Linked DNA regions of Notamacropus eugenii. The protein of the gene in region 3 purifies or fractionates together with the protein of the main gene of each other region. This does not show direct contact. Links are inferred from orthologs where the notes say so. Each region holds a gene or a part of one and is shown on either strand. Other genes may lie near its edges.

Region 1 (10,705 bases), about 350 Mb from region 3:
GTATAGGATGGGAGAACACTACAAAGACAACAGATGGGAAGTTTTAAGGAGACTATACTCTCAGTGAGTCAACAGTAAGACATGGCAGTCAAAAAAGTTAATCTAATTTTGGAATGAACTAATAGTGAGCAGTCTAGTGTCCAAAAGGCAAGAGGTAATAATCGCATCATATTCTCTCCTGATTACATCAGTGCTGAATTATTGCCGTATTAAGTTTGAGGCTCTATATTTTTAAGGACACAAAGTTGGCAGAGAAGAGAGACTGGGAAGCTGAAAAGGCTGGAGACCATACTATCTAAGGACTGAATGACCGGCAAATAGCTGAATGAAAAGAGACTTTGAGGGAGGAGACCTATCAGCAGCCTTCAAAGGGCTGTCACTATGAGCACTTAGCACAGTGCCTGGCACATACGAGGCTCTTAATACATACTTGTTGCCTAGACTGGCACAAGACAGATTTAGATTTGTCCTATTTAGCTTCAGAGGGGAGCACCAGGTTAAAGACGCCATGTCACAGTGGCAGAAAGAAGCAGTCACAGACAGGAGAGATGGGTTTGAATTCCATCCCTGATGCCAACCTGTTTAGATTATCCGCCTTAAACTTGTTTTCTAATCTATAAAATGAGGACAATAGGACTTACACTGCTCATCTCACATGCAACCACTATCTGAGCATGGCGGTGTCATTCTCCTTACTATAGACCTGCAGAGGCAGATCTCAGGCTCAGTGGAAGGACATGCTTCCTACAACAGGAGCTGTCTTGCAATGGCACTGGCTGCTTCAGGAAGTTGTTCGCTCCCCATTAATGGAGGTCTTCAAGCACAGGATAGGTGACCTTTTGTCAAGGATGAGGTCGAAAGGGTTCCTGTTCAGATACAGGATGAAGCTGATGATTTTTGAGCTCTCTTAGAGATTTTGTAATTGTCCTCTTTCTTCTACACTGCCCTAAGACTGTTAATGACATCCAAAGGAACCATTAAATCCAAAAGGAAAACATGAGGGCTAACAAGATTTTCACTTCTGCATGACAGTACAGGTGTACACCACCTTAAGTAAATCAGATATGAAAATCCAGTCATATAAAGATAGAAAAATTAGAAGGAATTTTAAACAACTTTTTAAAAAGGCTTGGTATACGATTCCTTTACAGAAAGTTTCTCAGGGCAGTTAGGTGGCGCAGCGAGACACCAGTCCTGGAGTCAGGAAGACCTGAATCCAAATCCAGCCTCAGACACTTGACACTTACTAGCTGTGTGACCTTAGGTAAGTTCCCAATTGCCTCACCCAAAAAGAAAAAAGTTTCTCATAGTAAACTTACATCACGAGTCTATATGCTAAAATGTAATTTACATACAGCTTTCCAGAAACATGCTGTCTGTGTAAAGCAGTACAGAGTTGGAGCAGGAAAATGAACAGAACCAGGGGTCTTAGTTCTTGTTGTATACGGACCTTTCAAATAATATTTCATGTTACATTAAAGTAAGAATAAACATTGCCTATGTTGAAAAAATTTAGCACTCCATCACTTAAAAGAATGATGTTTTAATCCTACCAGTAAATTTCCTCTACATTTTCTTAGAGCAATAATGGAACATGCCAGTGATGTCCACTGTCTGTGTAGAAATCCCAAGCTTTAGTAGCTAAGGCTGGACAGCAGGAAAATGGAATTTAGCTGCAAACGCTCACCAGCTCTCCTCCTGGAAGGTTCATGGATGACAGAAGCAAGACTGAATCCAGCCTGGAATTGGTCTCCACCTTCCACCGCTTCTGTTGAACCTACAAAGTAAGAAATTCTAGAGTTACTGACTCAAATTACATGAATCCAGACTCTGGACAGTCAGTGACCCCAAATATTACAGCCTAAATTTCTGCAACAAAAACAACACAAATTACAATTTAACTAATCATGCATTACAAAATACAGGACAGTCCTCTACCAAAAATTGTGTCACAGGTTTGACTTTTTTTAAAGCACACAATCTCTACGAATTGGTTCAGCCATCCTGAAAAGTAATTTGAATCTATGCCCCAAGTCACTAAGCTGTGTGTTTGTACCATTTGATCAAGCAATGACACTTCTAAGCCTACACACCAAAGAGATCAAATAAAGAGGAAAAAAATCCATGTGTATGAAAATAATTATAGCTGTTCTCTTTGTTGCAGCAAAGAACTGGAAACAAAAAGAGTATTCAGTCATTTGGGGAATCACCAAACAGCTTACAGTACAGGAAAATAGTGGTGACTGATTGTACCGTAAGAGTCGTTGAAAGTGACAGTTTCAGAGAAAGCTAGAAAGACTTATATGAACTGAAGATGAGTGAAAGGAGCTTAAAAAATAAATTCAACTCAAAAGTCTTTTAAGAACTTTAACCAAATCAACGACTACTCACAATTCTAGAAGAAGGTTGATGGACAAAAGATGCACTTGTACATTTTAGGGCTTGGCAAAATGTGTTGACTACACTTATTTCCATAAGCAAAACAACTTTAAAAGTAACATGATGACTCATATACTTTTTTAAAGGATACAAGAAAGTTATGGTTTCACACATAATTGTCTTCTGTTCTACTTTATATACATAGAAACATTCCCTGTTTGCTTGTGAAATTCAGAATTTTTTTAAAAACAAACTTCTTGATTCAAACTTTACCTCTGTGATTCTCCCCACCACAATGTCTCCTACTTCCCCATTATACCTGAAAAAGACAAGTCAATCATTAGAAAATTTATATTTTTCAATTTTCTTTTCTATGAATTTAATAATCATCCACAAACACAAATATTTCAGAAGAGAAGCAATAAAAACAAGGATTGTATATGAAAGTGTAAACTTCTGTAACAGTTTGGGTTTTTTCAAGCATATACTAAATTTAAGATACTGGTAACAAAACTGCTCTAGGTGTCCCATTTGGAACTTATTTTCTGTGCACTTTTTAAAAATGTCCTATCAATGATCTTTTCCTTTTTTCTACATCTCTATCAATCCCCACTAACTCTCAACACCAATAGAAAGCCTCCATTTTAACAAATTAGTATAGTTAAGCAAAACAATTCAATGCACTGGCCAGATTTGAAAATGTAGGTCTCATCCTGTGCTTCTAGCCCATCACTTTCTTGACAAGAGATGTAGGGCATGCTTTGTCACCAGTTTTCTGGAGTCATGACTGTTCAATGCAGTGATCCAAGTTTGTTGTTACTCTGATTAGTTGCTGTACTTCTTTACCACCTCTCTTGTACTGCTTCATTTAACCCTTATGTGTCACTTCGCTTTTTATGCATTTCAGCCCAGCTAGACTACAAGTCACTGAAGGCTATGAGAGTATTTCACTTTCCGATACCACCAAGGATATATGAGTGTGGTTTAATCCTTGAGGAATTTACTCCCGCTTTAGAACTAACACAAATGTCAAGCCTCTCCGTAACCTAACAAGGAAAATTATGGCTAGACAAGAGAAGTGCTCGTTTGCCGTTAAAGAATATCCAGAATTACACCAAGAACCGAAGTTCTGGTCCATCCCCACTCCGTTCTCCAGAGGTTTCTGCCGGTATCACTTGCACTTAACGATGTTTAAATAAATAAATAAAGGATTTAGCCCCATTTCCCCCACCTTCAGAGTAGGCTTTACAACCTAGGCTGGGCCCCCCAAAGCCCCGCCGCGGCCACCCCCGGGGCGGAGCAGACACACCTCGTTTTCAAGGCCTTCACGCAGATCAGCTTGTTCACCCTCTCCACGGAGCCGGCCACCGAGGCTATCAGCTTCTCATCTCCCATGTAGGTCCCATGGCCCCTGCAACAAGACCCAGCCGTCACCCAAGGCCGCGGGCCCCGCCTGCTCTCCCCCTCGGCGCTACCGGGGGGCAGGGGCTGCGGAACCTTCTTATCCCCATCGTGGAGCGCCGCTCCTGGCACGCAGCTGGACGCACGGACACTTGGGAAGAGGGACGGGAGGACCCAAGGCCGTGCAGGAACAGGTGTGAGGACAGTGGGCACCTGCAAGGGCACTCAGGGAAAAGCCACGGAAGAAAGGGATACGCAAGGACACGCGGGGACAGAGACTCGTGCGGGCGGGAACACGCGGGTCTTAGGGAAGGGAAAGAGGAAGCCCGAGAAGCACGTTAAGGAAGGCTCTATGGGAGCCTGACCGGAGCCCCTGCCGCGCACCGCATGAAGCCGGTGTCCGTAGTGATCGTGTCCCCGGGCACCACCAAGTGCTTCTGCGTGTCCCGGTCCAAACTCTCAGGTAGCCGCTGGCGAGCCACAGGAAGCCGAATCTCCATCGCCATCTTGAAGCCCAGAGGGCCGCGCAAGCGCACCCGACCCTAGAGAGGCTGTTTCCGGTTCTAGAACTACTGGCAGCCAGAAAATGAAATGGGGCGGAGCAAAGTGGGGGGCGGGACGAAAAAGGGGCGGCACTTACTTAGATAGCTACCAATGGGGACCCGCTGCTGGACGGCCATCTTTTTTATTGGAATGAAGGACTATGAGTAGTTTCAAGTACTTAAATGAAGGGGAAGAGCAAATGAAGTTCCCATATTTACTACTGGCGACCCCTTCCCCGCCGTTAACATTGGCTCCAATACACTACTTTAATGGGGATAGGACTTAGACGTCGTAGGCTTAAAATTATTGCTTGGGGAAGGAAAATTTTAAATAATAGAATAACATTAATTCCTTAACATTTTATGATTCTCATTTCCCAATTGATAAATGGTCAAAGGATATGAATAGAAAGTTTTCAGAAAAAATAAAAACTATCAATAGCCACATGAAAAAATGCTCTAGACTGAATCACTATTGAATAGAAAAATTCAAATTAAAACAACGCTGAGGTACCAGCTCACACCTTTCAGACTGGCTAATATGACAAAAAGGGAAAATGACAAACGGTGGAGAAGTAGAGTTGCGAATTAGTCCAACCCTTCTGCCCAAAAGGTTATAGAACTGTTTTAAACCCTTTGGCCCAGCAATACTAGATATGTAGGAAAAAGAGATTAAAGTAAAGGGGAAAGAACTTATTTGTTCAAAAATATTTATAGTCCATCTTCTTGTGATAGCAAAGATTTGAAAATTAGAGAGGGATACCTATCAATTTTTTTTCTTTTATTTGTTTTCAGTGTTCTACAATCACTTCCATGTATCTTCTATTTTTCCCCTCCTTACCCCTCTTCCTTCTCTACCTTCTCACTCCCTCCCTGAGACAGCATACAGTTTTATATAGGTTCTACACATCCATTCCTATTAAATATATTTTCACCATAGTCATGTTGCATAGAAGAATTAAAATGAACAGGAGAAATCATAAAACAAACCAAAACATAATACAAAAGAAAATGATCTGGTACATTCTGCAATCGAATCCCACAGTTCTTTCCCTGGATGTGGAAGGCATTTTGCCTTAAGAGACCATTGGGAATTATTTAAGTCCTTGCATTGCAGTGAAGTACTGAATCTACCAGAAAGATTCCTCCCACACTGTGGTTGTTGCTGTGCACAAAGTTCTCCTGGTTCTGCTCCTTTCACTCTGCATCAGTTCATATAAGTCTTGCCCGGTCTCTCTGAAGTCTTCCTGTTCATCATTTCTTACAGCACAAGAGTATTCCATTACATTCATATACCACAATTTATTCAGCCATTCCCCAATTGATGGACATCCCCTTGATTTCCAGTTTTTGGCACCCACAAAGAGAGCTCCTATAAATATTTGTGTACATGTGGGACCCTTTCCCATTTCTATGATCTCATTGGGATAGAGTCATAGAAGTGATATTGCTGGGTCAAAGAGTATGCACATTTTTGTAGCCCTTTGAGCATAGCTCCAAATTGCTCTCCAGAATGGTTGGATCAGCTCACAGCTCCACCAACAATGAATTAGTGTTTCAACTCTCCCACATCTTCTCCAACATTTATCATCTTCCTGTTTTGTCATGTTAACCAATCTGATAGGTGTGATGTGGTACCTCAGAGTTGTTTTGATTTGCATTTCTCTAATCAATAGTGATTTAGAGTGTTTTTTCATATGAGTATAGATAGTTTTAATTTCTTCCTCTGAAAACTGCCTGTTCATATCCTTTGACCATTCATCAATTGGGGAATGACTTTTATTCTTGTACATTTGGCTCAATTCTTTATGTAATTTAGAAATGAGGCCTTTATCACAGACACTAGTTGCAAAAGGTCTTTCCCAGTTTTCTGTTTCCCTCCTAATCTTGATTGCCTTGGGTTTGGTTGTACAAAAACTTTTCAGTTTAATGTAATCAAAATTATCTATTTTGCACTTCATAATGCTTTGTATCTCTTGTTTAGTCAAAAATTTTTCCCTTCTCCATAAATCTGATACAGTATTCCTTGTTCCACTAATTTGTTTATAGTATCAATCTTTATATCTAGATCATATACCTATTTGAACTTTATCCTTGTGTATGGTGTCAGGCATTGGTCTATGGTCTATGTCTAGTTTCTGCCACACTATAGGATACCCATCAATTGAGGAATGGCTGAACAAATTGTGGTACATGATTGTGATGGAATATTATTGTATGATAAGCAGGATGGTTTCAGGAAAATCTGGGAAGACTTCTATGAACTGATGCAAAGTGAAGTGAACAGAACCAGGAGAACAGTATATACAGTGACAGAAATATTGTGTTAACAGGACTTTACTGAGTCAGTCTCTAACCTGAGAAGGATGAAATAGCAGGCCAGAGACAAAGTGCCAGTAATCAGGTAGCTATTTAATTAATTAGTTTCACTATAAGGAACAGATTTGCAAATTGGGAATTCCCCTAATCAGAATTCCACCTTGCTTAAGTGAAGACAGAGATTATATACATAATTCACAATGGGAAGGGAGGGGGGAAGATGGATTACAAACAATAAACAATTCTGGAGTTCTGCGGGAGCAATATTACTTGAGTCTTTAGGAGGTCATTACTTGGTGGATCACAGGACCAGAATTCTGTAACCAGAACAGGCTCTATAATTTTTGATTAGCCTCATTTCAGGTGTGTAGGCACAAGGATGTTGGTAACTGTGAGCATTGTCAAAGTTTGACTGCATTATGAGTCTGATTCACTAGCTGGAGAGGCAACTCTTGAGAAAATTAAATTATTAGTATATTCATTCCACATTATCATGTCCATTAATATGAAAATTCTGATTCCTTTCTCAATTGTAAGAATGGTTAACTGTGAAAGACTTAGTACTCTGATCAAGAAAATGATACAAGACAACTCCAAAAGACCCATCGTGAAAAATGTTGTCCACTTTCAGAGAGAGCTGACAGACTCCCTCCTCTTGACAAAGGATTCAGAAGTCAAGTAACTGGCTGGGAAAATGCCCAAAAAAGGGGAAAAAATAAGACCATAGAAGGTTACTTTCTTGGAGAACAGGTGTCTCCTTCCATCCTTTCAGATGAGGAAGAACAAGGCATACTGTCAGAGGAAGTCAAGGCCTCTGCCTCCAGTACCTCCAAAATGAATATGAAATGGGCTCAGGCCATACAAGAGCTTGAAAAGCATGTCAGCAGCCTGCTAAAGGAGAACCAAAAAAAATTGCTGAGGAAAATAACACCCTTAAAAAGAGGATAACTCAATTGAAAAAAGAGGTCCAAAAAGCCAATGAGGAGAAGGAGGCTTTAAAAAGCAGAATTAGCCAAATGGAAAAGAAGGTTCAAAAGATCACTAAACAAAATAATTCTTTAAAAGAGAGAATCAAATTCATACAGCTGACAGACTCTACTGGCAGTTTGAAGCAAATTTTTCTTAATTTATTTTTCTTGTTTTGTGTGTGCATTTATTCTTTTGCAACATGACTAATATGGAAATATGTCTTCACAACTTCACACATATACGCAATATCATATTTCTTGCCTTCTCAAGCAGTGGGGGAGGAGGAGAGAGAAGGAGAGAATTTGGAACTCAAAATTTTTTTTAAAGTATGTTAAAAATTTTTACATGTTATTGGGAAATATTTAATGATATAAATAAAATATATTTTAAAATAAATGAAACATTTTATGTCTCTTTAGTTTTCAAAGTGCTTTCGTAATCTCTTCTAAGAGACAGTGTGGTACTGGGGAAAGAACTTTGCATTTGAAGTCAGAGGATATGGATGCATATATAGAGTCTGTCGCACTGCCTCAGTCACTAATACGTGACTGAGCAAGCCAGTTAACCTTAAGTAAAACAGAATGTTGGACTGGATGACCATTTTAGGATCCTTCTAACTAAAATATGATTTTATTTTTCTATATCTTGTTATCCTTATGATAGGACTGGTAGTGATTTTAAAATCATATAATCAGAATCTCATAATCTCAAAGGTTGAAGAGATCTGGGAAGGTGTAGGATGGGAATAGGGGGACGTTAAGTCCAACCCAAACGTGGCCAAAAAGACAGGGATCCCTCTGACAATATACCCATGTTGCCACTCAGCCCTTCCTTGAAGACTTCCCACGAGGAAAACCTTACTACCTCTTAATACCATGTTCCACTGTTAAATTGTTCTAACTGTTAGAAAGTTTTTCCTTACATGAAGTCCTCAGAGCTGGGCTGACCACTTCTCCCCTGAGGGTTTTCAGGGTAGTCCTAATGCTAGGGGGTTTCTAGTACTATAGTTTCTGTGTGCCCACCTGTGTGATAATAATTAGCCAGTTGCCACCATTAGTTTTTAGAAAAAGGGATTTACTGAAAGGTAAAGAATAGTTGGTACTAAACATTCTACTTTCCCCACTCCTAAAGAAACTAGGGATACTCACTCCTTGTTTATAAACGTTACCCCTATGGGGAGAGCTGACAAATTTAAAGGCAATGGGCTTAAATAATGGCAGTGAAGCAAAGTATAGACAGAGAACACTTGTGGCAAAAGGGTACCTCCCCACTCTTGGCCCTGAAAGTCCTTTTCTCCCTCCATGAAGTCCTCATGAAGTTCTCCCTGGATGTTGCTCTTTCTTTTTCTCATCTTAGAGAATCAGTGCATCGCTATAATTCATAGTCAGCATCCCTCTCTGTTACAAAGGGTCACAATCCCTAAAACTTCTCCTCTGTTCTAGTGACTGTTTTTCCAGACCTATCTGCAGATACCTACCTCTTTGGCCTTGGACCACTATTGCTCCAGGGCCTACTACTGCCTCTGGGGCAGCTAGGTGGTACAGTGGATAGAGCACCAGTGCAGGAGTCAGGAGGACCTGAGTTCAAATCTCACCTCAGACACTTGACACTCACTGGTTGTGTGACCTTGGGCAAGTCACTTAACCCCAATTGCCTCATTCTAGGTCATCTCTAGTCATCCTGATGAATATCTGATCACTGGATTCAGATGGCTCTGGAGGAGAAGTGAGGCTGTTGACCTGCACAGCCCTCCCTCACTCAAAAACAAAAGTCAAGTGAAAGTCATGTCATTATTTCTCTGATGGCATGGTCTTCTTTGGCAATGAAGGACGAACATACACACTACTACCTCTAAAACTTCTAGATCTCCTATGCTCACAAGGTCATTTCCTGAACATCTGAGTTTGCCTTAGATGAGAAAAGAGCAAAAATAGAGGTGCCATATTTTCACAAGCACCATAGCAGAATAAGAGAAAGGACATCCAACCTCCCCCCAGCTGGGTTCTTGGGGGCAATTCAAAATGGACCTCCCTCCTAGAGACTGCAAAGGAAAGAGAATGAATGATGAGTGGATTGTCCCTTTCGTATTCACATTCAGTTCTGCAGCTGATTAGAAAACTTTCCATCATCAAACCATACCAGCAGAGCCTTGGTCAGGCATGGCTGGAGAACTACTTTCCCTGTTTCCACACAAACATGACCCCTTGGACTGAAACTAGGTGGGGAATGTGTGTGTATACTGAAAGGTCTGGCCCTCTTAGATCAATCTGATCATTCTGTACTTGAAAAAAGTAGTCATGTAGCCCCAAAGTCTACTTAAACCTGAATATCTCTCGTTCCTTTATTGGATATACATAAGACATAAACCTCAAGATTTTTGTCGCCCTAATTTCCCTCCTCTGAGCAATAATAGCTAGCATTTATATTTCCTTTAAGAGTTTCAAAGCATTTTACTTGGGTTATTTCATTTGATCCTCACAACAACCCTGTGAGGTAAATGCTATTATTACCCCCACTTTACAGAGGAGGAAACTGGGGCTGAGGGAAGTGAAGTGACTTGTTCAGAGTCACTCAGGTCTTCCTGAATCCAGTTCAATAATATTTATCTTAATAAAGTCCTTCTAAAAATGTGGTAGCCATAACTAAACATAAACTTCATATGGTCTGATCAGGACAAAGTAAAATTAGATTATTACATCCCTAAACTTAGATATTATGCGTTTTCTAATGCAACCTAAGATTGCATTAGCCATGTTACATTATCGATTCATATTGAGCTTTCAGTCCATTAAAACCCCCAGATCTTTTTCAAATAAATGCAGCCTAGCCACACACCTCCTATCTTACATTTGTGAAATTGATTTTTTAGACCCAATTTCTTAATTTCACACGTGGAAAAACTGGGATCCAATGAAAGTCCAAAGTGTCACACTGAATAAGTAATAAAATTGAGATAAGCTCCTCAATCTTCTGATTCCCAGTTCAGAGCTCTGGTTGTCATCCTTGTGAGGATACCAGGGCAATGATCATTACCCTTATTTTATAGAAAGTTGGGAAGGAAGCAACTTCTACACTTGGCTCTGTTATTCTTATTT
Region 2 (10,701 bases), on a different chromosome or scaffold from region 3:
ATGAATTGGAGAAGGAACTGGCAACCCACTCCAGTGTCTTTGCCAAGAAAACTCCAAATGGGGTCACAAAGTCAGACACTACTGGAAAAAAAAACCTAACAATACACTGCTTCTAGTGTAAAATGTAAAATCCAATCCCTGTGACTGGAATTTAAAGCCCTCTGTCACTTCATTTCCAACTACCTTTCCAGGCCTTTTTCACTTTACTTTATTTTCGCATATTGGCACCAGTAAAACTGATCTGCTAAGGTTTCCTTATAAAGGACAATCTGTCTCTCACCAGTGACTATGCATAATATGATGATGCTAGAAAGAATACATTTTAAAGGCCCCCAGAGGGTAATCCTCGAGATTTCAAAAAGGGAAAGGGACCAAAAGAAGAGAGAAATAGGAGAATCTCAACAAAGAACTTCTGAAAATACAAAGGGAGATCATTCCAGCAAGGAGAAAAAAAATCCCAGATTTATCTGAAGAGAATGATCTGGAGGCTCAGGGAACTCACCAAACAACTTTGATCTTAAAAAGAAATGTACAGAACATGAGGGCGAGAGTAGGTTAAAGAAAACAAATAAGAGGGTGACGCAGTTCTAGGGAAAAAAAGTCAAGAGTTCGAATGCTCAGAGTGAACTGAAGGAAGCAGTTACGGGAAGCAGAGGACAACGCTGAGTTTTTGTGTTTTAGTTATACATGGATAAAACAGGGAATCACAGAAGGGATAAACTTTTGCTTGGAGGGCAAATGGAAAAAAGGTTACTGAAGACAGAAGGAAGAGAAGGCATAACTACTCAAGCCTTATTTCAGTTGTTTTCCTGGCCAAGGAGAATGGACCTTTGCACTGAAAACGACAGAACAAAAATGATTAACAGGGATTTCAAACCCAGGATACAGTAAGTGAAGAGCATAGTCACTCGACATATTTTTATCACTTGGCCCAGACGAACTATATTTTCCTGCACTAAAAGAAGTGGTAGATAGATAGGATTGCTAAGTGAACAATATTTGAAAGATCATGGAGGGAAAAAGGAGAGAGAACACAATACTAGAGAGAAATGTCTACATTTTTAAAAAAATTAAAAGACTAGAGTCAGCAAACTATAAGCCAGTGAATTTAACTTTGTTTCTTGGGAAAATTATCAAAGAGATGGTTGGCGGACATCTAGAAAGAGTCCCCCAGGAATCTATGCTTGGCCCTGTGCTGTTTTCATATTTTTATTTGCAGATGACACAAAGCTAGTTAACAGTTAACAAACAAAATGAGTCAGGTTCCCAAAAGATCTTGATGGGGAGAGCACTGGCCTTAATCTAATATACTAAAATCCAACAGAAATAAATGCAAGATTTATTGTACATTTGGGTACAAAAATTCAAGTTCACAAGTAAAATTATCTGAAAGAGATCCGGGGGTGCTAGTGCACTATAAGCTCAAAATGAATCAGCACTGGGATGTGGCAGCCAACAAAGCGAATGTGATCTTAGACTGCTTGAAGAGGGTCTAAACTTCCAGGAATAGAGGTTATAGTCCACTGTCACCATTTCCCTTTCTGGATGTCCAACAACAATCTCTTCAATAATCCAGTCTAGAATTTTCCTAGGTATCCAAGTCAAGGTCAACTTAATCAGCATTTATTCTTTTCACTGTGATTTGATCAATATCAGATTTTATCAAATTATGATTTTATTAATGAATTAAACAGAACAGGGTTAAGTTTGAGGTGATTATACCACCAATTATATTGCCATTACTAAAGCCAGGTGGTGAAGTGGATAAAGGGGCATGTGTAATGGGAGTTCAAACTCTTCCCCGGCAGTTGAGAGGCCTTTGGTGGGACTATTCAGGGTGACTGAATCTGTATGAAGACCCACACCTCTTGATGATTGCAAAGGATGCACTGGATCAGGAGATATATTGGAAAAGCGTATATATACACATACACACATATGTATATACTCTGAGGTGAGGTTCTACTTTGGGGCTTAGTTTTTGGAAGAAGGTTCTTGTGCCCCCCACTTTGAAAACCCGGATGTCTGTGCTTCTCTCTCTCTCTCTGGTAACATGTACGTATTGCCTACGGTCAGTTAGAAGCTCTGTCTGTTGGTATATGTAATTAAAGATTGTTTACTCCTTCTTCAAGTTGCTTTCCTTTTAGAAAAGCAGATCTAAGACCTCCTGGGTGCCAAAATGCTTGCTGTTACAGCCTGGAGTCAGGAAGTTCAAATATGACTTCAGACAATTACTAGCTGTATGATCCTGGGTCAGTCACTGTCTGCCTTCATTTCTTCCTCTGTAAAATGAGCTGGAGAAAGAAATGGTAAACCACCCCAGTTATCTTTGTCAAGAAAATCCTAAATAAGGTCACTGAAAAAAATAACCCAACAACATCATGTTCTACTTGCCATTTTAACTTCTTAATCTAGGACTAGGTTTACTGTCCTGGACTTGGCATGGGAATTCTGACAACTGGTAAAGGGAAATGCCCACGAGGAAATACCCTCTTACCGATGCAAACTGCCACTTGATTTGCTATTTTTGATCTTAAAACCTTATCTGGGGGCACTTCCCCAAGGTCTCAGGATCAGGCTCGAGCCTAAGCCTTCCTGCCCCCTTACTCAGCTCTCTGCTCCCTACACCAGACTGCCTCTCCATAACTATGCACAATAAAAGGTGGTCTGGAGTTAAGCAGGGACACGAGTTCCAAGGTGACCTCAGACACTTAACTGTGTAACCTTAGGCAGGTCATTTCACCATCTGTGGAAGTAGCTGCTGCTACATTGTTACAGAGTGGCTGTAACAGAACGAGCTCAAAAGGCTGCGGTGACAATCCGATGAGATATTTACAAAGCTCCCGGAGCAAAGCTGGCGCAACAAGACCGCTTAAGCCCCGCCCCCTGTAAACAAACAAACAATTTAACTGAATTGTAACCTTTACCATCTGTGGGCAGACATTTCTCTGAGACCCAGCTTCCTCTAAAATTTGATCCCTCACATTTGTAACGGCGTTAAGACTCGGGACACCACCCTGAAAAAGCAAGGGGGCGATCACCGGCTCCTCCCACCAGCGACCTGAGACCCTGGGGGGTCACCTCCAGCCTCGTCCATACCACAGATAAACTGAGTCCGAGGAAGGGAAGGCGGGCCGGCCACACGGCCACGAGGCCGCCGCCGCCCGAGGGCCGGAGACCCCTAGAACTACCGTGAGCGCCCTGAAGGGGAGACTGTAGCCAGGGACGCGCATGTGAGCGCCCGCGTGTGTGCCGCGTGTGCGTGTGTGATGGGCGCGGAAGGCACCAGCACCACCCAGGCTCCCGGGGCGGGGGCCGGGGCCATGGCCGTGACCGAGGCACGCGCGGCCGGGTCGGAGGGCGCCCCCCCACCCCGCGAGGCGCAGCGTCCGGCCTCCCGCGGCCCCGGGCCCCGCAACTCACCGACGCCAGCCCCGGGCGCAGAAGGCGGAGGAGGAGGCCCATGGCGCAGCGCCCCGGCTCGGCTCCGCTCCCGCCGCCGGACCCTCGCCTCCCGAGCCTACGTCCGGGCGCGGGGAGAGGACGAGTGAGGCTGCGCCCGCGGGACTCGCCCCTTCGGCCCCTCTCTGCCCTCCCCGGGAAGGGTCTGCCCACGGAGGGAGGGGCGGCGCAATTCCGCCCACGTCTCGCCCGCCCCTTCCTCTCTCCTCCCCTCCTATTTCTTCTCTTACTTTCTCTCCCCCTCCCTTCCAGCCTTTTTCTACCCGCGTCTCTCTTCCCTTTTTCTCCCTGGCACGCTTCCACTTTCCCTGCTCTCTCTGTCTCTGTCTTTGTCTCTCCCTGTCTCTCTCTGTCTCTCTGTCTCTCTCTTTCTCTCTCTCTCTCTGTCTCTGTCTCTCTCTGTCTCTCTGTCTCTGTCTCTCTGTCTCTGTCTCTCTCTGTCTCTGTCTCTCTCTGTCTCTGTCTCTCTCTGTCTCTCTCTCTCTCTCTCTCCTTCCATCTGTGTTCCTTTCCCAACCTGGAGCCCTAGGAATTCCAAACCCAGGCTGAGGGAAAGGAAGGGATCTGACCCTGACCCCAACCGTGACCGTGCAGCCGCTAGGACCCATCAGTGCCATGGGTGATACAGAGATGAGCAGCCTGCTTCTAGGAAGCGACTGCATTTTGTATTCTCTTTAGGAAATGCCCCATCCACCCTCATCTGTCATCACCCGATGGGGATGCAGAAGTAGCCTAAGAGGATTCCTGAAAACTCTTCCTTTCCTTTAGCTACAGATCTTTTTCAGGAGTGAATTCTCTGGGAATTTTGGAAGTCCAGCTCAGAGATGTTTCAGGCAGGAGAAGCATCGGAAAGCTGGCCTTAGAGCCAGAAATGGTTAAGTACTAGGATGCACATAGTGCTTTAAGGTTGGCAAAACACTTCCCCATTTACAAAGAGGAATTTTGAGAAAGATTGCCCATGGGCACACAGCTAGGGAGGGTCTGAGGCACAATTTAAATTCAGGATTTTGCTGATTCTGAGTCTACCCCTCTATCCCTTGGGCTACCTAGCTGAAAAATACAAAAGGTTAATTAGTTATGAGCCAGCCTGTGTGATCATGGACAAGTCACTTACTCTCACTACTCCAAGCAGCTCTAAAAACATGTTACAGATGATTGATAGAGCAAGGGAAATTGATTTTAAAAAACTATATAAAATTTCCCCCAATCCATCTTTTCTCCTAATTTTAGCCATTTTTTATTTTGTTTGTGCTTTTTAATTTTATTAAATTTGAATAATTTGTGTCTATAAATGAAATATGTGGGGGTTTTTTTAGGCCGGAATGTGAGTTCAAATGTGGCCTTACACACTTGCTAGCTTTGCTTAAGGGTATGAATAATTAAAAAAAATTAAACTTTCTCACTTTCTGATGCCTTGTTTTGCTGTATCGTCTGTGAAGTGTGTATGTGTGTGTGTGTGGTTGTATGTCTCAAAAGGTGGGACTTTTTCAAAAGGTCTAGGATTCTGGGTTTCTGAGAATACAGTACTATTACTGTATAATCCTTGACTAAAAAACTAGCAATTTATAGATAAATTATTTCATAGTCCAATCTAATGAGTTTTCCTTTCAGGAGACAGCTTTTTGCTGATGAGACACAGTAGTAGAGAGGCAAGAACCTAGGATTTGGAATTAGAAACTCGGGGTGTGCATCATAACTGAGCTATTTATTATTGGAGTGCCATTGAGGCAAATCACTTTCCCTTTCTGGGCCTCAGTCCCTTCTGTAAAATACTAAAATGTTTTAGTTGGAAAGATGGGAAACTGTAGGAATGAACTGTTGCATGGGACTTTTTTCCCCTTTGTGGATAGGAAGTCTCACTTGGAAAGAAGCAAAGGTAGAGAAAGAGAAGAATTATATTCAGAATTGACCTTGATGTAAAACAAAATGAAACAAAATGAGATAAAATGAGAGTTGGAGTAGACATATAATCTAGTCATTAGATGATCTCAGAAGGCCCATTTAAGATAAGTCCTATGACCCCATAAAAAAACCCTTGAGAACTCTGAGAAAAGTCCTACTTAGAGAGGAGGGACGTGGGGTACCGGGGTAATCGGGGTAAAAGCTCGGGATCCAGCACTGAGAGGATGACAATCTGGTCTTGGACTTGGGTAGGCGGGAGCTGCCCAGGGAGGCGGGGCCAGGGAGAAAGGGGGCGGGGTCTAGGAGCAGTCCGGTGTACAGTTGAGAGGGGCGGGGCCAGAATGGAACCACAGGGGAAGAGGCGGGTCTGGAGTGGGTGGGGCTAGGACTGGGCGTGGAGGTTCGGTGCTCCGCCCCCTCCACTGTCCGGAGTAGAGAAGGGCTTCTGGGGGAAAGTCCCGGACTGCTCCTTAGTTCATGCAGGACAGTGCCACCACGAAGGCGGAAGGTTGCTCCTCCTCTTCTGTCCCGAGGGTGGGAGGAGCTAAGTCGGAGTGGAAGGGTGGGCCATGGCGGGGGGGGGGGGGGGGGGGGCAGCAGTTCTTTATCACGTGGAATGGACACAGCAGAAAGAGGTGGGGCCTTAGGGGCGGGTGCCTTCACTCACGTGGGCTGGAACTACTGTGCAAGGGGCGGGGTCTGGGAGGGCTCCAGGGTCCAGGTAAGGTAGGGGCGGAGCCCTGGCGCATGGGCCTTGTGGGAAGGAACAGTTCTCTAGTCACGTGGAATGGAACCACAGTGGGGGGGCGGGGCCGGAGCCGTTCCTCCTTCCCGCGGGGTGTGGCGCCTCGGCGTAAAGGCGGGGCGGTGAAGAGCTGTGCCAGGCCGCTCCTCCTCACGTGACGTGTACCCTGAGCGGAAGGGGCGGGGCCACCTGTGGCGGATGTGGGGTTGCTCTGCTCCGGGGCTAGAGACGTCGGGTCCTGCAGGGGTCGCTGTGGAAGGCCCCGCAGCGGCAGCGGCTGCTCGATGGCCGCCCCGCCGATCCCCGGCTCGGGGCCGCGGGTGGCGCGGACCGTGCTGGGGCAGGTGGTCCTGCCCGGGGAGGAGCTGCTGCTGCCCGAGTCGGCGGGGCCGGGCACGGAGGGCTCCGTGGAGCAGACGCTGCGCTTGGGGTCGGTCGTGCGGGCCCGCGCCCGCGTGGTGTGCGGCCCGGGCCTGCGGCGCTGCGGAGACCGCCTGCTGGTCACCAAGTGCGGGCGGCTCCGCCACAGGGAGCCCGGCGGAGGCGGCGGAGGGGGCGGCGGCGTGTACTGGGTGGACTCCCAGCAGAAACGGGTAAGTGGAGGAGGCCCGGCCCGGCCCCGGCCTCGAACACGCGGAGACGGCCCCAAGCGGGATCCCGGCCTCCTGGCCGGTACATGGGAGAGGCGAACTCGCTCCTCCCCGGAGGGCTCCCCTAGCACAAGCAGAGCCCGGCTTTAATCTTGGGGCTCGGCCTCAGCCTCCCCATTTCCCTTGGCCGGCGCCCCTGCTCTTAGACGTCTTCCCCTTGCTCTGCTCTCCGGGCTCCGGCTGCGCTTCCCCTTCCCTGGCACGTGCCTCCGCACCAGCCAGGGGTGAACGCTGCCCTCCCGAAGGCCTCTCTGCCAGTCACTGCCCCGAGCCTGGCTGGGGCGTACTGGAAGGGGCAAATGTGCATGTCTAGTCCTGTGACTTCTCCACCTAAAACCTTAGCGTCTGTGGATTACTGAGTAAAATTCAGATTTCCTAGGCCAGCAGTTAAGAGTCGTTCTAAAGTTTGATGCCGCCCTGCTGTTCAGGTAATAATTGCTCACACACATTCTCTTGAGGGCCCTTCCAGTCCGTATTGTGCCATTAGACTCAGGCCCCGGAGGAGAGAGTGAGGCTGGTGACTTGGCACATTCCTCCCTCGCCTACATCCAATTCACGAACAAGCCATGGCACCATCTTCCTGACGTCATTCATAGTCCTCTTCCAGAACAACCTCCGAGTAGTCTGAGCAGCCCTGCTGGGCACCCAACTGGCCAGTTCCATTTGGGTGGTGCAGCTCCTCCATGCACATGGGGTGTCACATCCTTACCTGCAGATGCTCTGCCCCAAAGAATGTAAATTTTGATGACAAACCTAGCAAGATACCTTGGGGTTTACTGGCTGGATTCCTTTCTGAAAGACCATGATTGACCAACAATAGGGTCCGTCCCAAGCCCCACTTAGTGGTCATCTTTTTGACCTGGGTGGCCCAGAGTCAACATAAATTGTAATTGTTTCTGTTTGGGCCAGAAACTCTGAGGGTGTTTCCCTCCCAGATTGGGTTTTGTTTTTTTTAATTAGGAGAAAGGGGCCATTTTTTACCTGGCCTTAATCACTGGTTGGGGGCATTGTCTCAGTCAAACTGAGACCTACTAAAGACCTTAGCTTAAAAAGGCCAAGGTATCCCTCTGCATCCAGGGCCACCTCCAGTCTTCCTCATCTATATCCTGGTGAAGCTGGTGACTTCGCTCAGCCCTCCCTCACTTAAAGCCAGTTCACTTGCAAGTCACGGCATCACCTTGCTGATGTCCAAAAGAGAGGATAAACGACAACCACATGTTCTCCACTGTCCCTCCTTTGTCAGGGCCTGAAATGTGACCTTTACCCATCACCTCCCCCACCCCTGAAAGTTGGGTTTACTGCTACTTCCTGCATACAGTCTTTCTTAATCTATTATATGTTCCTTGAAGTCAGGGGTTATTTAATTTTTGTCTCAGTATCTCGTGCCCAGCACAGTGTATGTCACAAATACTTACTAAGGGATTTTCTGCAGCACCTCCATCACCCAATTGTTAATTGTCTCCTCTCTCCATGAGGTAGCATTTTGCTTATAACTTAAACAAATACAATTCACTTCAAGTATTTAAATGCTTACTATATACAAGCCATTATGGTAGGTTCAAAAAATAAAGAGATAAAAGCCACAAAATTCTTGTGCTCACTGTGGGAAAGGACAAATAATGTGTTCATAGATGAAGCATAGTAATAGATTCCAATAAGATTATGGAATGATGGCTGTAAAGGAGAGACAGAGGTAAACATTTGAGAAGGAGGAGAATATTCAGAATGGATTGCTGATGGGGGACACAAGAAGCAAGATGACCTGTTAGGGGTTTACAGTAGTCAAGGAGAGAGGTGCCATGAGTGATACTCTTCTAGGGTAAACTCCATGAGGACAGAGATGGGTTTTATCTGTCCTTTGTATCTCTCTCAGTGCCTACGTGGTAGGTCAGTGTTTGGTGAATTGCACTTGGTAAGTGCTTACTATGCACTGTGTGGAGTGGAATGGTATATGGACAGTGTTAGCCAAGTAGCCCAAATTTCTACTCTGAAAATATTTTTCTAAAATGCCAGAAAAATAAACATAACTGGATATTTATATGGAGAAATGTATAACTCAGTGGATAAATGTTATCTGGATAAAATTAATGGATAAATAGCTCAATTTGAGATAGTTTGAAGCTAAACTTAATTACTGAGAAGAAATTTATCACTGGGATTATCTTATTTTGATTTGTACCTTTTCTGTATATTTGGAATTTATAATTCAGCAAATAGTCGTTTGTTTACTGTGTGCAAGGCACTGGACTGAGTGCTGAGTGATCTCATTGGTACAGACGTTCTCTCTGAAGACAGCACCCTGTCCCTGCCCGTCTGTTCTGTGCAGTTGTTGTCCATGACTTGTCTCCTAAGTTTGCCTGTATATCCAAAGGTCAAAAACCTCTACAAAACAGTGTCTGCCCTCAAACAGGTTATATTTTTCAGCATATGATATACATACATACATATATATATATATATATATATATATATATATATATATATATATATATATATATATATATATATATTTAGATTTTTCCTTTCAAAGAGGTCTCATTTAGGGATGTGGCCTGTACTTGAGCATTGCCTATATTTAGATTAACATATTTATAAATATTGATACTTGAATGTTAAAATATTATACAGCCTTTTAAAAGCAGAAATGTAAAAGTCTGTTGGCAGGGTTTGCTGGTGAAATGTCTTTTTCAATTTTCAGAAGTCTGTATGCTTGTGCTTTTGTGACTTTTCTCTTGCAGTATGTCCCGGTTAAAGGAGACCATGTGATAGGCATTGTGACTGCTAAATCTGGTGACTTGTTCAAGGTTGATGTTGGAGGAAGTGAACCAGCTTCTCTGTCTTATTTGGCATTCGAAGGAGCAACCAAAAGAAACAGACCAAACGTACAGGTAACACTGAGTCTGTTATTTTTATGTTAAGTGAAGTCATATCATGAGATGAAATTAGACATCTGTGAAGCGTTTAGCACATTGCCAGAGTAGTACATTGTGTCCCACTGGGGACCCGTCTAGCCAGATCCAGTGGGGTAACTCAGCTCCTTCCTTCCTCTCCTTCTGTCTACATAGCAGGTACTCTACTCAAAGAAATCTAAATTTTGATCCCTGAAGCCTGGCAGGTTATCTTGGGGTTTACTGGCTCAGTTTCTTGTTAAGGACGGTGCCTTAAACCCAATTTACTTTGGCTCTCATTGGTTGGCCAACAGTAAGTCCCAGCCCATACCCTACCTGGTGGTCATTGTCTGGGCCCTGATTGACTCAGAGTAAAGGTAAATATCAATTTGTTTCTGTTTTAGCCAGAAACCACGACACTCTCTCTGCTAGGTTAGGGTTTTTGGTTTGGGTTTGGTTTTTTTTTTTTTTTTTGAACTAAGTAAAAGAGGCCATTCTTTGTGTCATTTCTTACCTAGCCTTAATCACTGAATGGGGTTGCCTCAGTCAAACTGAGACCTGTTACGGACCTTAGCATTATGGAGAAATTAGATGCATAAAGGTCTCCCACTGCATCCACGGCCATCTCCAGTTCCTGATAGTATCTTGCCACTGGGCTCAGATGCTTCAGGAGGAGAAAATGAGACTGGTGACTTTGCACAGCCCTTCCTCCATTAAATCTAATTCACTTGCGAGTCATGACATCACCTTTCTGATGCCATGGTTCTCTTCCAGAAGGAAAGACAGACAACATTTTGCCTACTATATAGTAGATCTATAATAAATGCTGGTTCCCTTACCTTGTCCCCTCTTCCATTATCTGAAAGAACTGTGTTGTGAAGTCAGTGTCACCTCTACCCTGTGATTTCACTCAGATATACAGATAGTGTATTTAGAACTAAGACTTATTTAATTAGCTTCATTCTGATGCTCTTCTTTTTCCTCATTTGTTTCAGCTCCTCAGCTAGGCAAGGCAGTGTTGATAAGTTAAGTGTTGAGTAGAAGCGGCTACCAG
Region 3 (10,865 bases):
TGGATCACAACGTGTAAGAGATGAGTGATGTCTACTGAGGCTGGAAAACAGGGGGCCAGGTGGTGTAGAGCTTTAAAAGTTCAACAGAGGAGTTTCTATTTTATCCTGGAGGCAGTAGAAAGCCTCTGGACTGGATCGAAGGAGAAGACACTAACCAAGTCACAAGGAGAACGAGCTAGGAGCTTCCCAGCCACCATTTCCCAACTCGAATTTTAAGGTCACTAAAGTAAGGTCCACATCTTCCTTCTATACCTCCCCAAAAATGGTACCACAGGAGGGGCTCAATATGGACTACTGACTACGATGTGACCATGGTGTATCTACAGGACTACTGCATAAATTCTAATTATAAGACAATTCACAACTACATCAAGCACTGGAAAACCAAAACAGCTTTTCAACAGACAGATTTGTTTAGAAACGTTTCGGAGAAAACTATATTTAAAACTCATCACTTTACAAGTGGAGGATTTGGTATTGCTTTAAAAATCCTTCAAAATAAAAATATTTTTAAAAAACAAAAGATTATCAGGTTCTGCACTGTGTCAGCAATCCAAATGATCACAACAAATTGATTTTTGTTGGAGAAAGTGAAATATGGCACCTGGAGCTGCATTTAAACTTGGAAATGTAAAAACATTTCTATCTTAGTGTCAGAACAAAATCATCTTCAAACTCATTTAATAATATTCTATCTGAAAAACCTGCACACAATCTACTTAATGCACATTTTTATGAACAGGACATGTAGTAAAGGCAATTTATCATTTTAATATACAAATAAAAACACTTTACACCCTTCACTGTCAAGTCATGAGGAAACGTCAATGTTTAATAAGAATAAATAACTCCTGTATTTAAATGATTTTAGGTATTAGGTTGGATATATAACTCTAATATGCTATCTCTCAACAAAGTATGGTCTCCGAGTTCAATCACAGAATCCTCTTAAAACATTAAATGAAGCAAAAACATTGTTAAAGCATTTCTGTTTTAAAAGTCTGCCAATTACTTTTTTCATTTAAATATTTTTATAAGGAAAGAGACTGGCTTTTGTCAGAAGGCCTTTGTTTGGCAAATACAATTATTGTGGATGGCAGCTATGGTGAGACTCTAGAACAAAACATGAGTTTATTTTAGGCCTCCTTCAGTAAATTATTAGATGGTATGATCTGTAAGCACTCGCAATGGAGAAGCATAGATTTTACAGCAAATACTGAACTTGTTTTCCTTCAATAAATTGCTGCAAGTTTCTGAAAGAATGGATATGTATATACACATACATGTACAGAGTTCTATGTATACATGTACGTATATATCAAGATTAACGTGCTAAAGACTCTAAAAAGAAATCACCAATCAGCTTTCTTCCACAAGAGAGAAAACAAAATAATGTGAAGGTTGAGCTGGTTGTAACCTTAAAACACCAACCTACTGGGATATGAGCTACGGAGCCAAACGAATATGCTTCGATCATGTGCTAAAACAAAAACCATAAAATAGAACAACTTCAAAAATGCCTTCCATAATCCCTTATTAAAGGAAGAAATAACAGATTATTTCCAAGTAAATTAAAAAAAAGTAAATAACAAATTAGTTCCAAAATTCCTTTTCCCTATTCCAAAATAATAGATTTCTTATCCTGCCCTTTCCCCTCCAGGACCTTTCTTATTTAATAAGTTCAAATCAGAAGTAAAAATTATGCAAAACAGATATACCTTCGTCCTCTTTGATGCTGTACAGCTTGACAGGCTGTTTGCATGAAAATAATACCTTTCAGCTCAGGAAACTCAAGAATCTCAAGGTAATCTTGAACAACTTTCCAGTCAGGGATAACATAATGAGTCACATCACTGGACAAAAGTTTCCCATCTGGAACATAATGCAAAATTTAAGAGATGAGACAACAGTTCCAAGGCTGCTTTATTACCATTGCCATGTCGCAGAGTCCCAGCGTACAAAATAACTTACAACCTTAACTACCTTGCATGGTTTTTAAAAGACAAGACAGATCTACTTTGGTAGAGGGCCAAAGACCAGGTAAACTTAGCAGCTTCATTTTTCTAAAGGTGGGATAAATAAAAGCATAACATGGTTTATTATGGTGCCAGAGCTGCACTGGGGGAAGTTGATGGATTTTCTGAAAAAAAAAACCACATTTTTAGGATTACTTAGATATTCTGGGTTAACTCATTACTGCCTAACAACTCATATCTGAAGACTGAGTGAAAAAGGCAATTTCCAGAGAATCATGTATTTCTAAATATAATTTCAAGCCAGGAGTTCTCCTTATGTTTCAGAGAGTAATGCTAGTCATCTATAACGCAGGTGTTAATTGAATAAACTATTATGGATGGCAATGAATGATACAATTTCCATCCAGCTCATGGGTCTACCCAACTTTGACCATTCATGTTCCACCAAGCCCTGAAGTTAAGGATTCCAAACAGGACTTCCGCAACCCACCTTCCACTAGAGGAATGATAATATGGGCTGGTTACTTAACACCTCTGGGCCTCAGTCTGGAGGTTCCTTCAACTCTAAAACCTATTATTAAACTCAGCAGTATGAACTGGAGGGTGGTCTTAAAGAAGACCCTGCAGAGCACACCAAAGGCCAAAGTTTTTTCAGGAAGAACTAACAGCAAGGGTTACCATGGCTTCTGCAAGTCTCCTGCCACCATGATGGTGGGTAAAGGTATGGATCCATGCACAGCATGAGGAAGGGGGCATCCAGGTGGCCATGGGACTTTTCCATTAGAATCCACCCTTTCGCCTGCTCTGGGAGACCCTGCCCCAGTCAGGAATGGTCCCTGAGCCTTTAGAAAGCAAGGGCACTTCTCCTATGGTCTCCAGCCCAGTCATCATTGGAGCCAGGCGGTTCCTAAGGGGGCGGACAACAGGCCATCGCCTTTCATAAGACTACAGGGTGCTAAGCTCCAAAACAAGAATCATCTTTAAGAACACGAATCTGGAACCCAAAGCAGATCAATCAACTTGAGATCAATCAATCAACAAGCTCTCATTAAGCCCTCACTGCGGGCCAGACACGGGAGGAGGGGGGGAGGACGACCTTCTAATGAGGCAGCAACGTGTACCTCCAGTCCCCAGTACAAGGCCGAGGGAAAGTGGGGGGCAGGACGGCCGGGAGGGGGAAGGGAGAGAGATAGAAGATGGGAATGAGCTCTACGAGCGGGGGTCCTAATCTTTTTGCGCCTCAGACTGATGTTTCTAGATATAATACGTTACATATAATATATACGTATAAAAAATATTTAAAAGTTACCCCCAAAGCCCCACCCCGTTTACGCTGAAATACAGGGCAAACTTTCTAGAGCGCGGTAAGCAGCAGAAACCCCCCACCTCCCCCGCTGCAGGGGCGCCGACCGCAGGCGCGCAGGCGCAGTGTGGCCATGCCTGCTTCCCGCCGCCCCCCACCCCGCCTCCAGAGGACGCCTCGTTACCCACAAACCGGGGTCTACGTTCCCATCGGAAGGCAGTCGGGGGAGGCCGCAGTTCGCAGGCCCGCCCAGGCCCAGGCTCTAGCCCCGCCCCCGGGGGGGAGGCGGGGACTCACGCCCAGTGTTTACCACCTAGCCCTGGCCGGGCGTAGGCCGCAGGGCCATCCCGCGTCCCCGCCGCCACGAGGAGGCGCAGACCCCGTCTGGACGCCTCGCCTCGGCCCTCCCTGCAGGGGGCGCCACAGCTGCGGGAGGGCCGGAAACCTCGGCCGCGTTTACGCCCCCGCCCCCGCCAGCTCCCTTCCTGCTCCCTCCCCGGCTCTGACCGTTACGGCAGCGGGCGGGCTGCGGGCACAGCGGGCTGTTGCAGGGCACGCTGGGCCGCAGGTAGTGCTCCCTCACGATGCGCACAGTGCGGCCCTGGAACGTCCTCAGGTGCAGCACCTTCTCCCGCTTCTGCAGCATGGCGGCGGCAAAGGCCCGGCAGCGGGAAGAGGCGAGGCCCCGGCGTGGAGCCCGCCCCCTTCCGTCCTCTGGAGGCCGGGCCCTGAGCGCGGCGGGGCGCCTCCCCCCGGCCCGAGGCCGGAGCTGCCTCTGGGGCTGCTGCAGCTGCCGGGGCCGCCCCGCTGCGGGGCCCAACGGCCGCCCCCTCCTCGATCTCGGGGCCTCGCGGAGAAACTCCCTCCGTGCGGAGTCGGGGTCCGAGTCAGAGCTCTGTCACTGGCCGACCCCGAGGGAGCTCCGTGCCTCAGTTTACCCTCCCTGCAGTGAGAGAGAGGGTGTGTGTGTGCGCGCTCGGAGGGCAGGGCGAGAAAACTCTACCCATGCCTGAAGAAGAGATTATGGAAACAAAGGAGGGGAGGAGAAAATACATGAAAGACTCCCACTTCTTGGGAAAGCAGGTTAATTACTGTGGCTGTTAATTACCACAGCTGTTTCCTTTCCACTTGAAGTCAGGCAGCAAACATGTATTAAGCACCAGCTGTGTACCAGGCACTGCGCTAAGCCCTGGAGAAGCAAAGACAAAAACAATCCCTTCCCTAAAGGAGCCCCCATTCTAATGGGGGGGACCAGGTTAGAAGAGCTACGTACACGCAGATGTATGTGTGTGTGTGTCCGTATAGTCTGTTCTCCGTATAAACATATACATGTGTGTATATATGTACAGCCTGCCTTCTCCATACATACACATATATAGACTATCTATATACACACACTTGCGGAGATCATGAAAGACTTCTGGCAGAAGGTGATACTGTAGCAGAGACTTGGAAAGAAGCCAGGGGTGGGAGTTCAGAACGTTCCAGGCTTGGGAGACAGAGGGGATGGAGTTTCTCGTGTCTGTAACTTTGTAGCTAGGATCTGCAAAGAATACACCGTAGGACTCTAAGGGACACCTTACCTGAAACCTCCCATCACCACGAATCTAAACTGAGCTTTGTCACTAGGCAACTGGGGAAGATCCTTCCCTCATTGTGCTTGGAATAACGGAAGGGCTGCTCAGTGGTGCCCTGTTTGTGAAAAAGGGTGCATAGTAAGGTAGCATGTGTGCCTATGCACCTACTTTGTCCTAGCGCAAGATGTTTACATGTGAGGGTGATACTACATTAATTTTTAAAAAGACCTTAAGGGTTTGGAGCTTAGATGATGTGCTTGGTAGTATTTCATCATCAGTGGATTCCATTCATTTATTGATTCAACAAACATTTATTAAAATCTTACTATATGTAGAATTCTTTCAGGCATGGAGTTGATCGAAATTTCAGATAAGACAGTCTTTGGATGGCTGTGAAGACCAAATGAGATAATATACACCATATAGCAAACTTTAAAGAACTATATGAATACTAGCTATTATTATAATTCCTCTAATTTCTAGTGGCCTCCAAAATAAATGCAACTTTGTATTTATTTTGAATTCTGTTCATACTTATTCTGTAAGTAAAAAGGTACACATACATATATAATATATATATGCACACTATATATATACAACATATATGCACACACATTTTGTTTCTCTGATATACAGGGATTATTTATTTATTTGTGTTTGTATCCACAGCACTTAGTATAGTACTTTTGTAGGTGTGTAATAATTTCTTGTTGATTGATTAACAAAATCATTGGAGTTTCCTTGTACCTGAAATCACTAAGTCAAGTCAATAGGCATTTTATTAAACACTAGGCATACGAGGAGAGGCAAAAATGAATAAAAAGACAAGACAAAACCTAACAAAATAATTTGTAGTATTATATGTAGTTTTATGCTTCTTTATGTTTCATCATCTTTTTTTGGTGATAGAACATAGTACAAAATACTTTGTTCATGATTTTAGGTAAAGAGAAACGACTTCATTAATTTTAAGTACTTCTTAAGCATCTGTGCATTCATTGCACCAATAAGCACTATGCAGAGTATGTTAAAGGAAAATCCCTGCTTTCTAAGAATTTACAATCTAAAATGGAAAATATTGCCCTTTCTTTTTTTTTCTCAAAGATTGCCCAATGCTTTTCTTAAAATAAACTACCCTGTTGTCTCTGCTCCCTTAGTTTCAGACTGGTCTGTCTGTATAGTCAGCATTTCATGCCTTTATGTCTGCTTAAAGCTGAACCACAAGGTGTCTTTTGTTGTCCCAGCTTATAATCACCTTCACTTCAGTTCACTCTCAAGCAGCATTTTAGCACAAGTTCCAGTCTTGTTGTATGTTAAATATAGTTTACATATTATTAATCTACTCAAGAAACCAATTTTGAATTCTGTGATAGATCTAAGTTCTATAGTCCTGTAGAGGTTGGACATGTTTGCCACTCTGCACATTTTTAGTCTGATCCGTAGCATGGCGCCATGTCAATACATGATCTGTCTGCCCCTACAAAAGACATACTGGCTGGTCATCTTGATTCAATTTTCAGTTTTTGACTTCATTGTCAGTTAGTGTATCGTTGGACAGCGTGATGCCAGGATAGCAAATTCAGTGACAGCTTTTCACTCCATATTGCTGATGAAAATAATTGACTAGGAATGGGTTCTCCTGGTGCATGACTTGCTTCTTCTTCAGGCTTAGCATCAGTGTGCTTATTCTGCAAAGAGTTGTTAATCATTTGCATGCTTACTTGCATGTGTTTCAAGAGTGCAGCCATCAGCAAACAACAACTTCTGAATTTCTACTGATGAAGGGTGATACCATGAGTGGTGACCAGATGTGCAGTTTTTCAAAGGGTAGGCATAGAACTTATTGCTCCTGAGGGACTTAGGTTTATTTACATTAAATTTGCCATCTTCATGGGATACCAGAATTGACAATCTTTAACTCACAATTTCTTGTATCCTTGTATTATATATTTCTTGTATTCTTGATTGTAAATCAATTAATAGTAGATGGTAGAACGTTCCAGCCCTCAGTAACCCTTTGCATAGCTGAAGACTGCTAAACCATTTTGACTGGATCTCTGGGTATCCTCATTTAGCTCAGCCCTTGGCAATTCCACTCTTCTATCTTGATTCTAAGAAAGGAATCTGTGGGAGGAAAAGAGTTAGGCTTCCAAGTATGGCAGCTTCTTTTAGAATGGAGATTCTTATTATTTTTTTGAGTGTTTCATGGATCCCTTTGGTAGTCAAATAAACATATTCACCCCTTCTCAGAATAATGGTTTTAAACACATAAAATAAAATAGAGAACTATAAAGGAAACTATTGAAATACAGTTATAAGATTTTCTTTTCAATTCACATAAATCCTATGTTAAGAACCCCTGTTTGGGAACCTGCTGGGCCAAATATCACTGATGCACATTTGGAAAAACACTTTTCTCAGGTGGTACCAATGCTTGAATGGGTTATTGAAGAAGCTTGTGGAATTTTCTCGAAAATTTTTCAAAGTTGATGATATGCCCAAGCCAAAGATATTTTGAACAGGTAGCCAAGGGTATAGAGGCACAAAAGAAGGGAGGCATGAAAATATTATCTTTGTAAGAAGTCCAGCAGCAGGATGTTGTAAGTACTGATAATTAAGACCTACAGAATTCAAGTAAGGGTTCTATAGCACACACTATATGGCTGCTCTAACTTTCTTGGGCCTCAGTTACTCTAGCTAGTGTTTCAGAATTTGTTGGGTATTACCACCAACTAGTCAGTGACTAAATGCCATGTAAATAGCTAAAATAACCAAATTTATCCGAAAACAAGGTTATTTTCATTTGTGTCCCAACTCAGTAGAAAATTCGCTTAAAGAGAAATGGTTGCCAAGATGACTCTGTTGTATTAAGGGTAATTTAATTTCATATACATTAAAAGATGTTAATCCTTGATTTTCACTTTTTGTTACAGATATAATAATTCCCTTTTTGCTTTCTGAAAGCACTATGAATCCCCGTAATCCACTTTGCAGTGATTACCATAAAATGTTCTGCTTAAGAGGGTTTTTTTTTGGGGGGGGGGCGGGTATGTTAAAAGAGAAAAAGAATTATTTTCTGTGTGTAAATTGTGTATCTCAGCAGGATTTTTATTGTGCGGTTTACTTTTTTCTTTCTATAACGTAATTTCTTTCTACACCACTAAGGGATGCTATTTCATTTTTTTTAAGGTTATATTGCTAACTCTCCTACTGCCTCATGTGGAGAAGGCATTCAGGCTTGTAGGTTATTCCTATCAAAATGCTTTCAGTTGTTTTTTGTTTTTTTTTTTTCAGAAACCTTTCATATTTTGACTGGGACTTTTGACAAGAAGCTCAGAAGAATTGCTGCTTCAAAATTAATGAGAACTAAACTTCATTCATTGAATTTAAGGAAAATGGTGAGAGGGGTGGGGTCTTATGCTCTTGAAACATGTTACCATGCAGGGAAAATGCAGTTGTGTGATTAGCCACTGAAAATTATTTAAAATATGAGCATCTCTATTTTTTACTTACATTTTCTGTTCTGGTGTTATTTGACAGAATTAAGTTTTCATTTGTCAGTCTTATGACATGGTCACTATGCATAGTTAAATTTAATTTGATGATTATACTGCACAGAATTTCTTAACTCATTTTAGTTTTTTATAACTGAATATAGCTGTCTGGAAACCTGCATTCCATTTCTTATCTTATAATGACAGCTAATGCATTTAAAACCTTGTAATGGAAAGATAATGGAGAGATTAGAAATGGAAAAGATGGATATTGTGTTTTAGTCCCCGAATTCTTGTCTTTGTGGCTTACAAAGAAGTGCATGCTGTAATGAAAAGAACAGAGGACTTCCTGGAAACCTCGGAGGGCTGCAATGCAAAAAAACAGGAGGGATATTTTCACAAATTAGTTCAATTTTAATCAAATAATGTCATTCCTTTAAATAATTTTGCTGTCTCTATATGTAAAGGAAGGAGTAAATATTGAAAGTTCTGAATTTGATACATATGCAAGATTCTACCCCAACAGCTTCATGCCTAAGGAAACAGCCTGTACAATTCATAATTTGATTTAAAATAAACATTTTGAACTTCATAAAATATGTTTAAGACAATCACATTTGTTGGAGTATCTGAAATGTAAAGCAGCAGAAATAATGGCCTTAAGAAGAAATCAGAGTGCCAATGCATTCATCAGGAGACCATACCAATGTGAAGTTGGAGGTAATGATGTCCATGTAAGCCAAATTAGCTTGGTTAGTCCAGGCTGATGGAAAAGTTAAAACAAAACCTTACCTACACCAACCCACATTATGTTCATTTTAAGCAGAATTGATTTATTTTGTACCCAGAACATAGTCAGGAAGACATTGCAAAGACTCAAGCCCACCATTCTTTGTATTTAAAGCAATATGCACAGAAAAAAAATGTCGTGGGATTCACACCCCTTGTCTCACTGTTCCCACGCCCACCAAGAATGAGGGAGAATTGTCTCATTCAGAGAAAGAAACCTTTGCAGATCCACAGTGTCAGATGACGGGAGTCCCAGACATGTCTTAAAAGATATTAATTTTAAGTTTAAAATATCATCATTATAGGCTAGTCTCATTGAGAGATGGTTACTGTGATAAAATCTGAGAGAATGCTAGTATAAACCACTAGTTTTTGTGAAGAATTCAAATAGGGTCAAAGGCATGATGGAGAAACTCTTTGTAACATTTAAAAAAGACTTTTCTTTCTGTATTTTTTATTAAATCTGACATTTTAAGAGGTGCCATTAATAAATATTCTTTCTAGAATGTAAAAGAGTTTGGAGCTTACATGCTTTTTATTGAACCATGAGGTTCTAGCTCTATTTACTTTTTTGGCCTTTGAGGCCCCATCTCTCCAGACCTGAGAGAACTGAAAGCATTTGGTTCATTTTCAAAATTTTAAATTATGCTCCTTAATCAGCTTGAGGGATCCCAGTTAGGAGAAGAAAATAACTTTCTTTTTTCCCTTGTCCAGGGGATAAGAAGGAAACTACTTCTCTGAGACCACAATTTATACCGTCCACTGAAGATTGCTATCATTTCTAACTATGTGCAAATATTGAAAATATCCTAAAATCCATTACTTAATGGATACGAACTTTGCCAACTTTTACCAGACTGAAAACAGTAGATTAGCATTCTTTTTGGCTGCTCTCTCTTCATGTATCTCTGCTCTTGGTCTGACTCCTTCCCCATAGTGTCTAGTGAGACAATGTTATAAAGAAAGAGGCTATCATCTTCTTCCCCCGCTAAGGCTGACATGTGGCCTCATGAAAATGGGCTACAGCTGATCCTCTGTTCTGTGTTCATTTTCTCTCTTAGATGAAGGGATCAGTAACTACAGCTTAAAGGGGTTTAAAAGGTCAGGAGAATGAGCTTTGGGAGGTCTGGGAGCTACCTTTGGTTCAGCATTCCAGGAGTCTGAGTCCACACCAGGTTTTGTAGAAATCTTGCTAGTATTAAGGGCCCAAGGAGCATGGAGTGACCTTTAGAAGTGATCTTTGGGATCCAACCCAGCAAGCACTCAGCAACACTACATTTGGATATAGACTTGGTGGGGGCAATGTCATTTAGGAACTGAGCTAAATCTGAGCCAGTTCTCCCCAGAGGCTTAGGAAGAAATGTTTGTATTTGAATGCTTGCTATATCTTTGAAGTGAATATCTCTTTCTGAAAGCTAATAGATGTTCAATCACTAAATAGAACTGTGGTGTTAGTCACTGTTGGCTCTAGGGGAATCCAGACAGGACTTAAGCTAATGGCATTGGTCAAGAGATGCCCCCAACCTCTTGGGGTACCTCTATGAGGAGATGTAGCCAGCCTGGCTCTGGGATAGTAAGAATAAGAACACACCTATTACACCTGAGGCCGTCTTTGGGGGCAAAATCAGGTTCCTTACATTTGCAGAAACCTATAGGCAGATTCTTCACTCTAGACAGAGAAATTAACCAAAAAAAAAAAAAAAAAAGAATTTATCTCTTTGTGTAT

The links.
Region 1: the proteins of DIS3L (region 3) and EXOSC2 purify together in Homo sapiens (affinity purification with mass spectrometry; 5 studies listed by BioGRID and IntAct, with this or other methods). This does not show direct contact. The link is inferred for Notamacropus eugenii from reciprocal best matches to the Homo sapiens genes DIS3L and EXOSC2.
Region 2: the proteins of DIS3L (region 3) and EXOSC3 purify together in Homo sapiens (affinity purification with mass spectrometry; 6 studies listed by BioGRID and IntAct, counting the BioPlex papers as one, with this or other methods). This does not show direct contact. The link is inferred for Notamacropus eugenii from reciprocal best matches to the Homo sapiens genes DIS3L and EXOSC3.

The regions. Positions count from the first base shown.
Region 1 is NC_092872.1:482,370,292-482,380,996, reverse strand, and holds the start of EXOSC2 (exosome complex component RRP4), read right to left. Parts: upstream 4,377-10,705; 5' UTR 4,287-4,376; coding exon 4,165-4,286; intron 3,791-4,164; coding exon 3,689-3,790; intron 2,699-3,688; coding exon 2,653-2,698; intron 1,778-2,652; coding exon 1,688-1,777; intron 1-1,687. UniProt on the Homo sapiens protein: Non-catalytic component of the RNA exosome complex which has 3'->5' exoribonuclease activity and participates in a multitude of cellular RNA processing and degradation events.
Region 2 is NC_092874.1:316,497,805-316,508,505, forward strand, and holds the start of EXOSC3 (exosome complex component RRP40), read left to right. Parts: upstream 1-6,325; 5' UTR 6,326-6,393; coding exon 6,394-6,702; intron 6,703-9,497; coding exon 9,498-9,647; intron 9,648-10,701. Other genes in the region: uncharacterized protein, read right to left, coding at 3,424-3,465. UniProt on the Homo sapiens protein: Non-catalytic component of the RNA exosome complex which has 3'->5' exoribonuclease activity and participates in a multitude of cellular RNA processing and degradation events.
Region 3 is NC_092872.1:128,842,487-128,853,351, reverse strand, and holds the start of DIS3L (DIS3-like exonuclease 1), read right to left. Parts: upstream 4,081-10,865; 5' UTR 3,926-4,080; coding exon 3,787-3,925; intron 3,528-3,786; exon of another isoform or gene 3,464-3,527; intron 1,873-3,463; coding exon 1,719-1,872; intron 1-1,718. UniProt on the Homo sapiens protein: Catalytic component of the RNA exosome complex which has 3'->5' exoribonuclease activity and participates in a multitude of cellular RNA processing and degradation events.